Caenorhabditis elegans: one gene and its partner. The protein of the gene in region 1 interacts with the protein of each later gene in a pairwise test. Each region holds a gene or a part of one and is shown in the gene's direction. Other genes may lie near its edges.

Region 1 (6,728 bases):
GGATACGCGCCAAAAAAAATGGCGTAGAATGTGATGTTTGCGGGAAATGTGTGCCGAAAAGCGGGAATTTCTGTTAGTCAAAGAAAATCGAGCACAACTTGAATTAAAATATGAGAAAACAAATAAATATTAAAAAAAGGAATTGAGAAGTTTTAAAGATTACAATAATAATTGTTGAAATTTTGATGAAGGTTTTACATCGGCCAAAATCGCATGAATCGAAATTATGGCAGCGCAATATTGGAAGAGGGTTAAAATACTGAACAAAAACATTCTAAAAGTCAATACTTCGTCCAAACATGAAGATTTTCTGCAGGTTCTCAACAAAGCAATTCACATTTGAAAAAGAAAAAAATGAATGGCTCGGACCACCTGCGTAAATCTTGCCGGGTACGGTATTCGCTTCGAGACCTCCATCAAAACCGTAGTTTGGAAATTGTTTTTTCCCGCCGATCTAACTTTTCTATTGACGCGCTAAATTTTGAAATCAGAAAAGTCGCATAAAGAATTCGGATTTTGTTTTATTTTCATTTGTCAGTTTTGATAAATTTTCATTTTATAAATTATGTAAAGTTTCGGCTATATCAGTTACCCACTTCATTTCTACCTAGCTGTTCTTTTCCTTATATGACCTTCTTGAAAGCTTATAAAAGTTTTCGAAAGCTTTTAGACCACTTTCAAACTGCTTAATATCTAACCCCCATTTCGGAAAAAAAACTTCTACATAATTCCAGATGCGCCATCTCCATCTCGCCTTCTTCCTTCCCGCCATCTTTCTGTTCTTCTCGTGTGTAAATGGTGCCATCGAATCGGTACACGACGACAAAGATGTCGTGCCACACGAAGAACAAGGTAAAAAACTAGATTATTGTGTGCTTAAGATTAAAGTTTCACTTCAGCCCTCGACGTCGACACAATTTTCCGCGCTCTTGGAGTTCCATATTGCATGCGAAAGTGCATCGACCCGTTCATCAATTCTACGACGTCTCTGTGGAACATGAAGAATGTTGTACATCAAGCTCGCAAAGTCTGTGGTCATCATGCACAGGCTATCACTTGTCTGAAGAAAGAACAGTACTGTGATCACAACAAGCTCTTCGCAAAAGCCAGCAGCAGTGTTGAATATATGTGTGCCACAAAGCACGTTCTGTTTGAGCGAATGGAGTCGTGTCTCAACCCTGTCGTTGATGATATCATGTCAGGTAATTTTTTTTCTGAAAAATTGCCCACCATCAAAAAATCGTTTTCAGGCTGCGACAAAGAATGCTATGCTCGTTCAAACCTAACTGCTTTCGCTCAAGATTCTAACATTAAATTCGCTGCTACAGTTGGAGGTAATGTATTTATTGTTGCTGATCATCTTGGAGAACTTTGTAACTCTCTGCAATGTACTCTCCCATGTGTCACCAAGCGACTCAACAGCAAGTGTGCCTTGAGTGGATGGCTTAGTCTGGACATGCTTATGCAACCATTCGATGCCGTTTCTGTAATGGTTGATCAATTGTCACCAGCATTGAGGTTAGTTAGTGCGATCATTATTAAATATGCTATGTAACTAAACATTTCAGGGATGTCATCAGTAAGAAAATCGATAAAAGATGCCGTTTTGCAATTAACCCAACTCGTCTCAACCGCATTCGCAACGGCGATTTCAAGGCTTTTAACATGGATAACATTTGATCGCATCTCATTTCATGATTCCAGTACTCACTAAAACCCACGAATTGTAAATAATCACCCGACACAAATATGTTGATATATCGAATAAATAGTTGTAAACTGTAAACCGCTTTCAATAATCATTTTCTCAAACGCGGATGAAAGCCGAAAAAAATTCTCGTGACATTTTGTACAACTATCGAAGCTGAAATGGCCGAAATATCTGAATTTCGGCCGCGTGGTCGACAAAACAGCTGACAAGTTCAATTCATCGATCAATAATCGCATTTTGATGAGTCAATCTATTCCCTTCCATCGCTCTTCCATTGTGAACGCATTAAGTTAATGAGAGTGTAAGGATCGTGGAGACGGAGACGTAGAGACAGTTGTTAACCTACAGGAAAATTCTTTCGTTTGTTGCCTGTGTAAATACAGCAGTTTGCCTTGTTCTTTCCCTTCATTTATTTCAAGTTTTCCCTTCAAAAAGCTACTATTTCACAATCGATTTACACTTTCTCTAAGAAAACGACATAAATTGCAGAATTTTGTGTATAAATTTATCATATGGAAGCGGATGAATATTTTACCACATACGATGCGCTTAAAGACGTGAGTATCATTTCCTTTGTGTTCTTATCACATTGGCATCTTATCATTTATATATTGTGGCGAATAATATGAACATTTCCAATAGAATAGAAACTATAAATTTTCCAAAATGCACTCTGCCGCTGTTAAAAGACTGAAATTCAAGGTAGATTATACATATATAATTAGATAAAATAATTGAACGTTTCGAAATATGAATTTTTCAGCAACAAAAGAAAGATCACGCTGTACGAAGACTGCTGCCACTCAAAACGAGTGAAAACTGCGGAATAATGAAGATTGTTTGGTCGCAATTCGACTTTATGACTGGCCCGGAGCTGAAATTCGTCTGGGATGTGACACCTTCGACTTCAATTTCACCAGTAAATCTTTCTGGAGAGGATGGATCAATTGCAGATGCTGAAAGTTTAATGGATTCTTCAGGATCTAATCAATCGGTGTCTTTTGAAGAAATCGATGATCCATTAAAAGTGAGTTTATTCAGATAAAGCTATCAAATTTTTAATTTTTGCAGACAGAATTAACAATTCTCGATGGTTTGGATGCCAATTTAGTCGATTCATTTGCTGATTTCGATTTAATGAATGCTGGAGACTATAAATACAAAACACTCAAGTATTTGGATGAATATATGACTGAATCTGCTACAACAAGTACAAAAACATTGACAATGGATGATTCTCGTATTATGGAAAGTCCTGAAAGCAGTGGAAAATCATTAAGAGATGAAGGACTGGATCATTGTTGTGAAGGTAAATTCTTGGAAGATGAACGATTGGGAACCAGCTTTACACTTGCTTCTCCCTCTCCAAATGATACTGGCCATCTTGGGAAGCTGCTTGCAAGTAAATATCCAAATGAAGAAGATAGAGAACTCGCAGAGTATCTTCGAGATAAAATTGCATCCACCTCGACGCCAGCTCCGAACGTTGCGTGCGTGGCACATCTTACCGAACATTATGAACTTGACAGACTGTCGCCTATTAATAATGATGATGGTGAGTTTCAGATTTCTTTGATAATCTCAATGTTGTTTATAATTTCAGAACTCCGTCGATCTTGTGTTGATTCTGGAGTTGGTGTGTCAACTCATAGTGATTTATCTGCTTTGTGTCAAAGCCCTCCTTGTAAGAATCACATCAAAAAGTATGAAGATGCATTTGGAATGATGACATCGACTCCCAATTCAAATGTTTTTGAATTTCGAGAGGAAAGAGGTCATACAAAAACTCCACCACCGAGAGATATTTTCGATTTCTTCGATGATCAGATTGATTTTGGAGAATCATATGTAACAGATGAAGCTTTTGTTGCCAAATGTGTATTGGCTGAGCTTATTTGCAAGTAAGCTTATTAACCAGGCACAAAATATTGCCATTTTAGCAACAAAAATACGGTGTTCGGTCTCGACACTATATTTTTGTTAAATACGAAAACTTATGCTCCTTTAAAAATGTACTGTAATAACTCATGCTGCTGCGAATTTTTCATAGATTTTTCTATAAAAATACATTTTAATTGAAAAACTTAAGTGAAACAATAAGAAGGGAAACGTTTAAAAATCGTGAGAAAAAATTTAAATATTTAAAGGCGCACACCTTTTTTTCGCTTTTGACACAATTTTCGTGTCGAGACCGACTACCGTATTTTTGGCGCAAATATTGCAGTATTCTACAAAAAAAGTTTAGTAATTATTATGATTTCAGTGCCCCACATTCCCGATGTCCTCTACAACACAAGATGATTGTTTCACCCTCACGTCACTTATTAGTTGCGGCGTTTATTTTCTCAGTTCAAACAAAATCAGGATCAACTATTACATATGCCATATCATTCCTTATGTCACATCTTAAACAAGAATGGTATTTGGATCGACATTCATGGTTTGAGAGAATGGTTGGCGATTCTGTTCCAAAAATGAAAGCCTCATTATTTTCGGTTAGAATAGTAAATTATAGTCTTTCGACAATGCATCAAATTTTAGGAAGATTCTGATGATGTACTGGTTCGAGTGACTTCTGAACTTTCTCGCCTCTTGTCACTTCTTTCTGCACTCGAAAGATTTCCTCTTGTTTCTCTGGAACGACCTTTAATGGTAAGATTTACTCAACTACCACAAAAAAATGTAATTCGTTTTCAGATAAAGAACACACTATTCACGGATAGAGGAATTTCAATTTCCGAAAATCGACTTCTCGCAAAAGCGATTTCCGGATGCTTGCAAAGTCAGGGTCATACTGTAATTATTGGATCGGATCATGTTTTGGTTGCCAGACTCCTCTATACTCTTGCATTTTTTGTTCCTGAAGCACATCAATGGTGTTGTCTAAGAGCTTACCGACACAAGTATAATCCATATTTAAAATTACAAGGTGTACGAAGGGTATGTGAAACCATCAAATTATTTTATTTTAAAAAAACATTATTTCAGGCAGAACTCCCTTCAGTTATAATGAGCGGAACATCAAGCCCTTGGCCTATTTGTATCATCGACATTGATCGGTCAGCAGTGTGTATGTCAGCTTCATATCAAAAACATCGAATTTTACGAGCACGAAATGATTCTCGAGGGGTACGGTTGATTCTTGAACATGCAGGCGTGATGGTTTCGAAGAACACAAAAATTCCACAGATGTAAGTTTGTTTTTTTTTGAGAAAAAGAAAAAAAAAGATCAAGGTGCGCGGATTTAAAATTTACTGTAATTTGAAACTTTTTAATACTGCAGAATTTTCAAAATCAGATTTTTAAAATTTTTTGATAAAATTCTATTTACATTTAAAAAAACTCAAATATAACAATAATAATACCTCATTTTTGATAAATAGAAAAACTATGAAACATCTATGAAAACTTCGCAGCAATAAAAGTTTGAATTTACAGTACTATTTCAAGGCTCACACTTTTTCCATTCAACAAAAAATAGTCGTGTCGAGACCGTGTATCGTATTGTTGACAAAAAAACGAAATCTGGGAAGTACTGTAATAGTTAATAATTGAATTTTTAACAAATTCCTAGAAAACATTCGTATGTTGATTATATAAAAACGATCACTTATAAAAATATTCAATCAAATATATTTTGAGAATTTGAACATTTAGTGATTTTTTCACTTGATCTATTTCGTGAAAACTGTTTTTTAAGTTAAAAAAAACCTAGAAAAAAACCTAAAAAAGAGCAATTATTTGCAACTAGTTTTTAGTTGCGCAACTAAAAATGACAAATTTTAAAAATCAAAAAGTTAATTTACACCAACGATAAATATAATTTTCATAGGAAATTAAATATAATTTATTGATTTTTATAGCAGAAAAACATTACAATAGAAATTCGAAAATTATTGAAGATTCATTATATTTTTTATAAAACATTTAGGTAATTTATTCTCCAGAAAAAATTTTGATTATTCCAGAGAACTGTCACCTTGCCGAACTCTTGAATCAGTGAATACATTCCTAAAGCAAATGGATTTACTTCCAATGGAAGAATCAGTTCGTTCTGGATTCTGTACTCAAATAATGCTCTATTTCGATAATCTTGCCGCTGCATTCATTGCTTTTGTCCGTGATGCTAGTCGCCCCGGAAATGACGAAAAAGAGTGCGGAACACGATCCAAATCGTTCAGTTTAACTGAATGCCGAAAATCCCTGGATCTGACCAACGATGCTCTGTTCAACGCGGTTCTAGCGAGAGCCGAAATACTTCAGCCTGACATATCCGAATTTATTTACATGTAGAGCCAAAGTCCAAACCAGTCATGGATATTAAATACGAGATACTCTTTTTTTTTGCCTTCAGTTTCTGATGAATTTAGTTGCATTCCCCAATTTTTTGTTACACTTTTATTGAATTGCCTACCATTTTCCACGTGTGATGAATAAAAACTTTATAATCTTTTGTTTTTATTCTGGCAAACAGTTGAAAGAAAAATATGATGAATCAAGTTTATTTTTCAAATCTTGCAATATGAACCTCTCATCTATAAATATGTGCTCCTTCTCTCTTCAACGAATAATATTATTCAAAACTTGTGTTCCAATCTGTGCTTGTTGTTGCTGCTTCTGCTTGAATATGAGAAAATCATAATGACGACGAGAAGAGCAACCTTCCTTTTTTCCCCTCAAAATAAAATTACAATTCAGATTCCAAAAAGAAAAATGAATTTACAAATATTTTTTCAACTGATCTGTCAAGTGTTGATTGACGTAAAATATTTCATAGAAAATGCCACCAACCCCTCATTTAAAATAAGGAAAAGGTACCCATTAATTTATATTCAACATTTCTTTGAAAATTCGAATTCTCTAAGAAAACTCGGTAATTCATCAATATTTTGTGTTTTCTTTTACTTTTTTCTCATTTCATATATGTTGGTGTCAATGTATCATCATTTTCTTATTCTATAATTAGTTATCCTCCTCTTTTCATGTCTGAACCATCCCACACATCATTGTCTTCATC
Region 2 (4,675 bases), on another chromosome or scaffold:
CTCATATTTCGAATGTAGATTTTGCGTTTCTGCGCGGTACCGACAGAACTGAAAAAAAATGCATACTTGGAAGGTTTTTTAAATTAATCAAAATTTTTGTTATCATACTTAAAATGGCCCCAAAATGTCGAATTTCATAACGAGACATTCCAAAAATTGCATTTTTTCAAAGTCTCGTTATGAAGTTCGATCTTTTGAGTATAATTAAAAATTATTCACTTTTGCCCAAAATCCATCATTGGTGGATCCATCTCCATTGGAAGTTTCCCTTTTCCAGACAATTTCAACACGTTGAATGTTTTCGTCGCATGGTTCTTGTTGGCTTCTTTCGGACAATTTCCTTCACAAACTCCTTTAATTGAATCATAAACTGGCAATTGATGCACATTTTCGGGTCGAATAGGATGATTGAGATAGTGAAGCTCTTCACCGATTTGAACAAATGCGGTATGAAGAACTGGAATCTCGTGAAGCTGGGATGCGGACACTTCTTCTGGAAGAGGCCATGCCTGAAATTGATTTTTTAATGTGAATTTCTGAGGCTAAACCATACCTGCTGATCTGCAAAAGTTGAAGTGATTAAAAGAGAAATTAGGAAGAAATATATCGTCCGATATCTGTTTGAAGTTTTGTGTATTGATGGAACCATTTGAGCATTTGGTAAATTGAGAGTTTCTCTGAAAAAACGAATAAATTTTTTTCTATAGGTTTTCTGAGTAAGATAATTAAAAAGCACAATAAAACGGAAATCAGTTTTTATTGCTTATTTTTTGCTTATTTGCTTATGCAACATGGATGATACGTGGAATTGAACGGCACTAAGAGATTTCTCCAGGGAAATAAAAAAGTGAGAGACAACGGCAAAGGCGACGTCGACTTCAATTGGGAAGGATAACTGGGAGAAGAGATAGTGTTTGATTTGGAGAGACCCAGTATTCGGCATCTTGGGAAGAAGAAGATACAGTCGTCGTGAGACGCAGAACAAATAGGATCGATCGATTTTTGAGGGAAAATAGAGATGTTGAACACGTCATCACACCATTATAAGAGAAAGAAGAACGAAGAAATCTGGTTTGGAAAAGTGAAGAGAGAAAAAAGAAAAAGGGCTTTTTTCGGTGAAAAATGAGTGGAATCAAGTGAATAAAACAAAGACAAAGTGATAACCATCTGTCATCTAGGTCAAGGCAGTCAGGAAAAAAGTCTATAGCTGTCAACCGCAGGCTAGTTTTATTACCTCGGGTATGAATATTAATGAAGCATTAAAATATTGAGCGCTTGGATTTACATAGAATTTAGAAAATCAGAAAACAGTCTTTATTTAGCAGAACAATTGTGGAAATTATGGACACATTTTTTTTGTAATCAGAAAATGATTTTCTTCGGCTATTGTTGTTAACAAACACGCGAAAAATAGAATATTTGACAGAGTATACTATAAATATCAAAAATATGTCTTAAATAATTCCGAATATGCAAATTTCTGCGCGAAAACGTTCAAAACTGACGATTAAAAACCAGAAAAACTACAGAAACAAATTACAGTTATTTCAGCCGTGTGGAGAATCCTCGGCCACGGCCACCAGAACAATATCTCCTGACTGCAGTGACTGGTTTTCCGATGTTTACACTGCTGGAAGTTACTTCATTGTTCTTTTGCAAACAATTTCGCTTGGAAAATATTGATTTAATTTAACTTGAACGTAAATTGACTTTTAAATTGATTAATGAGTAGTTTTATAGAGGGTTTTGGTTACTGTAGCTTTAAAGGCGCATGCTTGAAAAGTTTTAATGAAGGAAACTCTTCCATAATTTGCAAACATTTTCACTTTTGTTTTTTAAGCCGTTTTCTGCTGAATTCGTCTTTTTATTATGAAATTAAAATTGTATTAATTTCAGAAATGATTTCATTCGAGGATTTTCTCCTCCGACCATCCAAAGTCGTCGATCCATTCAACAGATTCGTCGCAAAAATTGATCCATTTCTGACTCTTGTCGAATTTTGCCAAGTTATCGGACCAAAACCACTAGCGGTAGTTTCTCAGCGGCCAGATGATAAAAGTAAATATTTATACACAATTTTCTCGAATAAATGCTAATTTTCAGTCCGCGGAGTTGACATAAACGATATGGCAATCTGGTTGATGTCGTCTGATACTGTTCCGGGTACAATGATTGTGTTGGAAAACAATCAAACGGGTGTATATGCGGCCGCATATTATTTTAATTTGTACGACATGAGAGCAAGAGCTTTTCAAAGAAATTTATGCATCGCCTATTTATGTTCGGAGAAGCCAACAAAAGAAACTTTGAACCTATTCTCATCAGCTATGAAAAAATTAGTTTCACCAGTTTTGATTTGCAATCGACGTCTGTTTATTCGCCATGTCACTGATATTGTCAAGTTTTCGGACAGTGTTGGTAAGTTTTTTTTCTTCGATTTTTTAAACAAATTGTTACCATTTTCAGATGAAACCACCCTGAAACAGTACTATACACTGAATGGAGATTCACAAAAGTTGTCAGACGGAAGCAGATTCAATGTAGTTTTCGAGCAAACCAGGCTTCTAAAAAGCAAATTTTTGACGAAAAGATTTCAAGAAATGGCTTTTGATGGTGAACAAAACGTTGAGACTTTGATTTAGAATTATATTTCAGATGACATTTGCTGTGGTCACAATGCAGAAAACATGAACGAAGCTGAAGATATTATTTGCTCATTCCGAGTTCCATCAATTCCATTGAGTCCTGTGGAAACTCTCACTCCATGTGTAAGATTTTAAAACCTTTGTTGCCTATAAAAATTAAATTATACAGGCGTATTCATCCATAATTCCAAAACTACGCCAACTATGCTCCGAACTATGTTCATCAGGAAGCCCTAATAGAAATTCTACTCATGGAGCTCTTTTCTGTGGACACCGTCCCATCGCAACTACATCACCAGCCGCCACTACAACTTTGCCTTGGAACACTGATTCAGGAAAATCTGATAATGATAAAAACGGAGAAGAAACTCTAAAAGAAGTAACTGGACACCTGGGAGATGTCATATTTCCATTGCTTTGTGGAGAAGATTTGGTAGTTTGTGGAGCAGAACAGAGAAAGAGTACTGTAGAAGATATGCTCGGGAAATTGAGCAGAGTTGTTCCAAGAGAAAGTGCTCGGAATGTAGAAGAAAATATCAAAATCGAAAAGGATCCAAATAGGTAAATAATCAGAAAACATTCAATTCTAAAATTTGGTAATTTTTCAGAATAGGCAATGGATTGGGCGGTCTGCTATGTAATAGAAATGAGACCGGAAAATTGGCAAGATGGAGAAATGTTCTTGATATGAATAGGTAATAAAAATTCAAAAAAAAAAAAATATCGGTTTCAGAAGTGCTCTCAAGACGTTTACCTACGATGGATCATTGCTAGCTGGTCTCAATAAGAAAAGAAAGTGAGTAACATTTATGGACTTATTTCCTTATCTTGTCAAACAATTAAGTGCAAATAAGGGGATAAGTTCAGTTAAGATATACACTCTCCTAACAATAAACGCCTTTCAGGTTCCCATCTGATCGTTCCCTGGTCCTTTTTATAATTGCCTATTTGACAAATATTTGTCAGCTTGCATTCATCTGTCGATATATGTTCATCAAATCTCCGAACTCTATCGAAAAAGCATTGGGAGATCAGCAGAAACTGAGCTCAGACGACGAAAGAATATTGATCAACTTGCTGATGGGAATCGACTTCGAAAAATTCAACCAACTCAAAGTATCATCCAAAGACGGGGCAAAGCCGAGTAGAACCATCAATTTGTGATTTAAAAATTTGAATATTTATGAAACAATAAAAAAAATCAAATTCAGTCTGATACAATACAAGCTGTCATTGAAACAAAACATAATTATAGATGATATGAACAGTAATTAGAAGAAGGAAAATTTTAAAAATAAGGACGACAGAGCATTGATTTACGACAATGCATTCGGAGAACTTTCATCTTTTGATGATATCCTGTTTCATTTGGTTGATTTCAGCCCAAAAGTCTGCCTTGTCACGATTTCTAGCCAATTCAGCCGCCTTCTTGAACTCTTCAAAAGACTGCTTCAGAATGGCGAGCTCTTGACGCAAATTAGTGTTTTCCGCCACGAGATGAGCGATTTCTTTTTCATGTTGTTCTAAAACTCGGTCATCTTCTTCGTCTGGCTCTGTCATTGATCGTTTTGACTTTTTATAATGAGCCTTTGGTTCAGTTGGCCAGTGACAGATGATTTCTGGTTTATCAATGTCCGGGATTCTCACTTTGCACACCTGGAAATGTAATTTTGATTAACGAACGCTTTTGTTAATAAGAAATCTCACCATATATTCTGAATTATTGCATTTCACGTACATGTTCGAAAGAACAAGCTGTAAAATAAAAAATAACACTCGAAAGCTGAATTTATCTTACATCAACACTTCCTGAAATAAAATCCACTTTGTCAGCAACAGTCGGGTGTTTAAGCAGATTTTCGAAGTCCTAAACAGTTTTTAATAATTTTTGCAATGATGTTGGCCAGTTTACCTCTTTGCCGATGACGTGGGTAGTTGGCATCCAAGAAAGGTATTTTTTGGTATCTTTCTGAAAAATAGTTGATTTTAGAATTAAGTAGTTTTCAAAATTAGGCGTTACACTGTAATCT

The links.
Region 2: the proteins of alfa-1 (region 1) and smcr-8 interact in a two-hybrid assay, tested with the Caenorhabditis elegans proteins (one study listed by BioGRID).

The regions. Positions count from the first base shown.
Region 1 is NC_003280.10:7,657,761-7,664,488, reverse strand, and holds alfa-1 (ALS/FTD Associated gene homolog), read left to right. Parts: upstream 1-2,200; 5' UTR 2,201-2,223; coding exon 2,224-2,268; exon of another isoform or gene 2,269-2,377; coding exon of another isoform or gene 2,378-2,413; intron 2,414-2,474; coding exon 2,475-2,738; intron 2,739-2,782; coding exon 2,783-3,266; intron 3,267-3,314; coding exon 3,315-3,612; intron 3,613-3,974; coding exon 3,975-4,206; intron 4,207-4,252; coding exon 4,253-4,363; intron 4,364-4,408; coding exon 4,409-4,651; intron 4,652-4,699; coding exon 4,700-4,902; intron 4,903-5,679; coding exon 5,680-6,004; 3' UTR 6,005-6,161; downstream 6,162-6,728. Other genes in the region: F18A1.7 (Chondroitin proteoglycan 4 domain-containing protein), read left to right, coding at 735-852, 900-1,202, 1,251-1,518, 1,569-1,680.
Region 2 is NC_003281.10:4,997,485-5,002,159, forward strand, and holds smcr-8 (Guanine nucleotide exchange protein smcr-8), read left to right. Parts: upstream 1-1,890; 5' UTR 1,891-1,898; coding exon 1,899-2,058; intron 2,059-2,103; coding exon 2,104-2,418; intron 2,419-2,466; coding exon 2,467-2,613; intron 2,614-2,655; coding exon 2,656-2,768; intron 2,769-2,814; coding exon 2,815-3,206; intron 3,207-3,253; coding exon 3,254-3,340; intron 3,341-3,378; coding exon 3,379-3,441; intron 3,442-3,550; coding exon 3,551-3,809; 3' UTR 3,810-3,884; downstream 3,885-4,675. Other genes in the region: tmem-131 (Transmembrane protein 131 homolog), read right to left, coding at 1-48, 220-509, 554-649; R144.10 (Coiled-coil domain-containing protein 25), read right to left, coding at 3,987-4,301, 4,353-4,400, 4,444-4,512, 4,558-4,614, 4,666-4,675.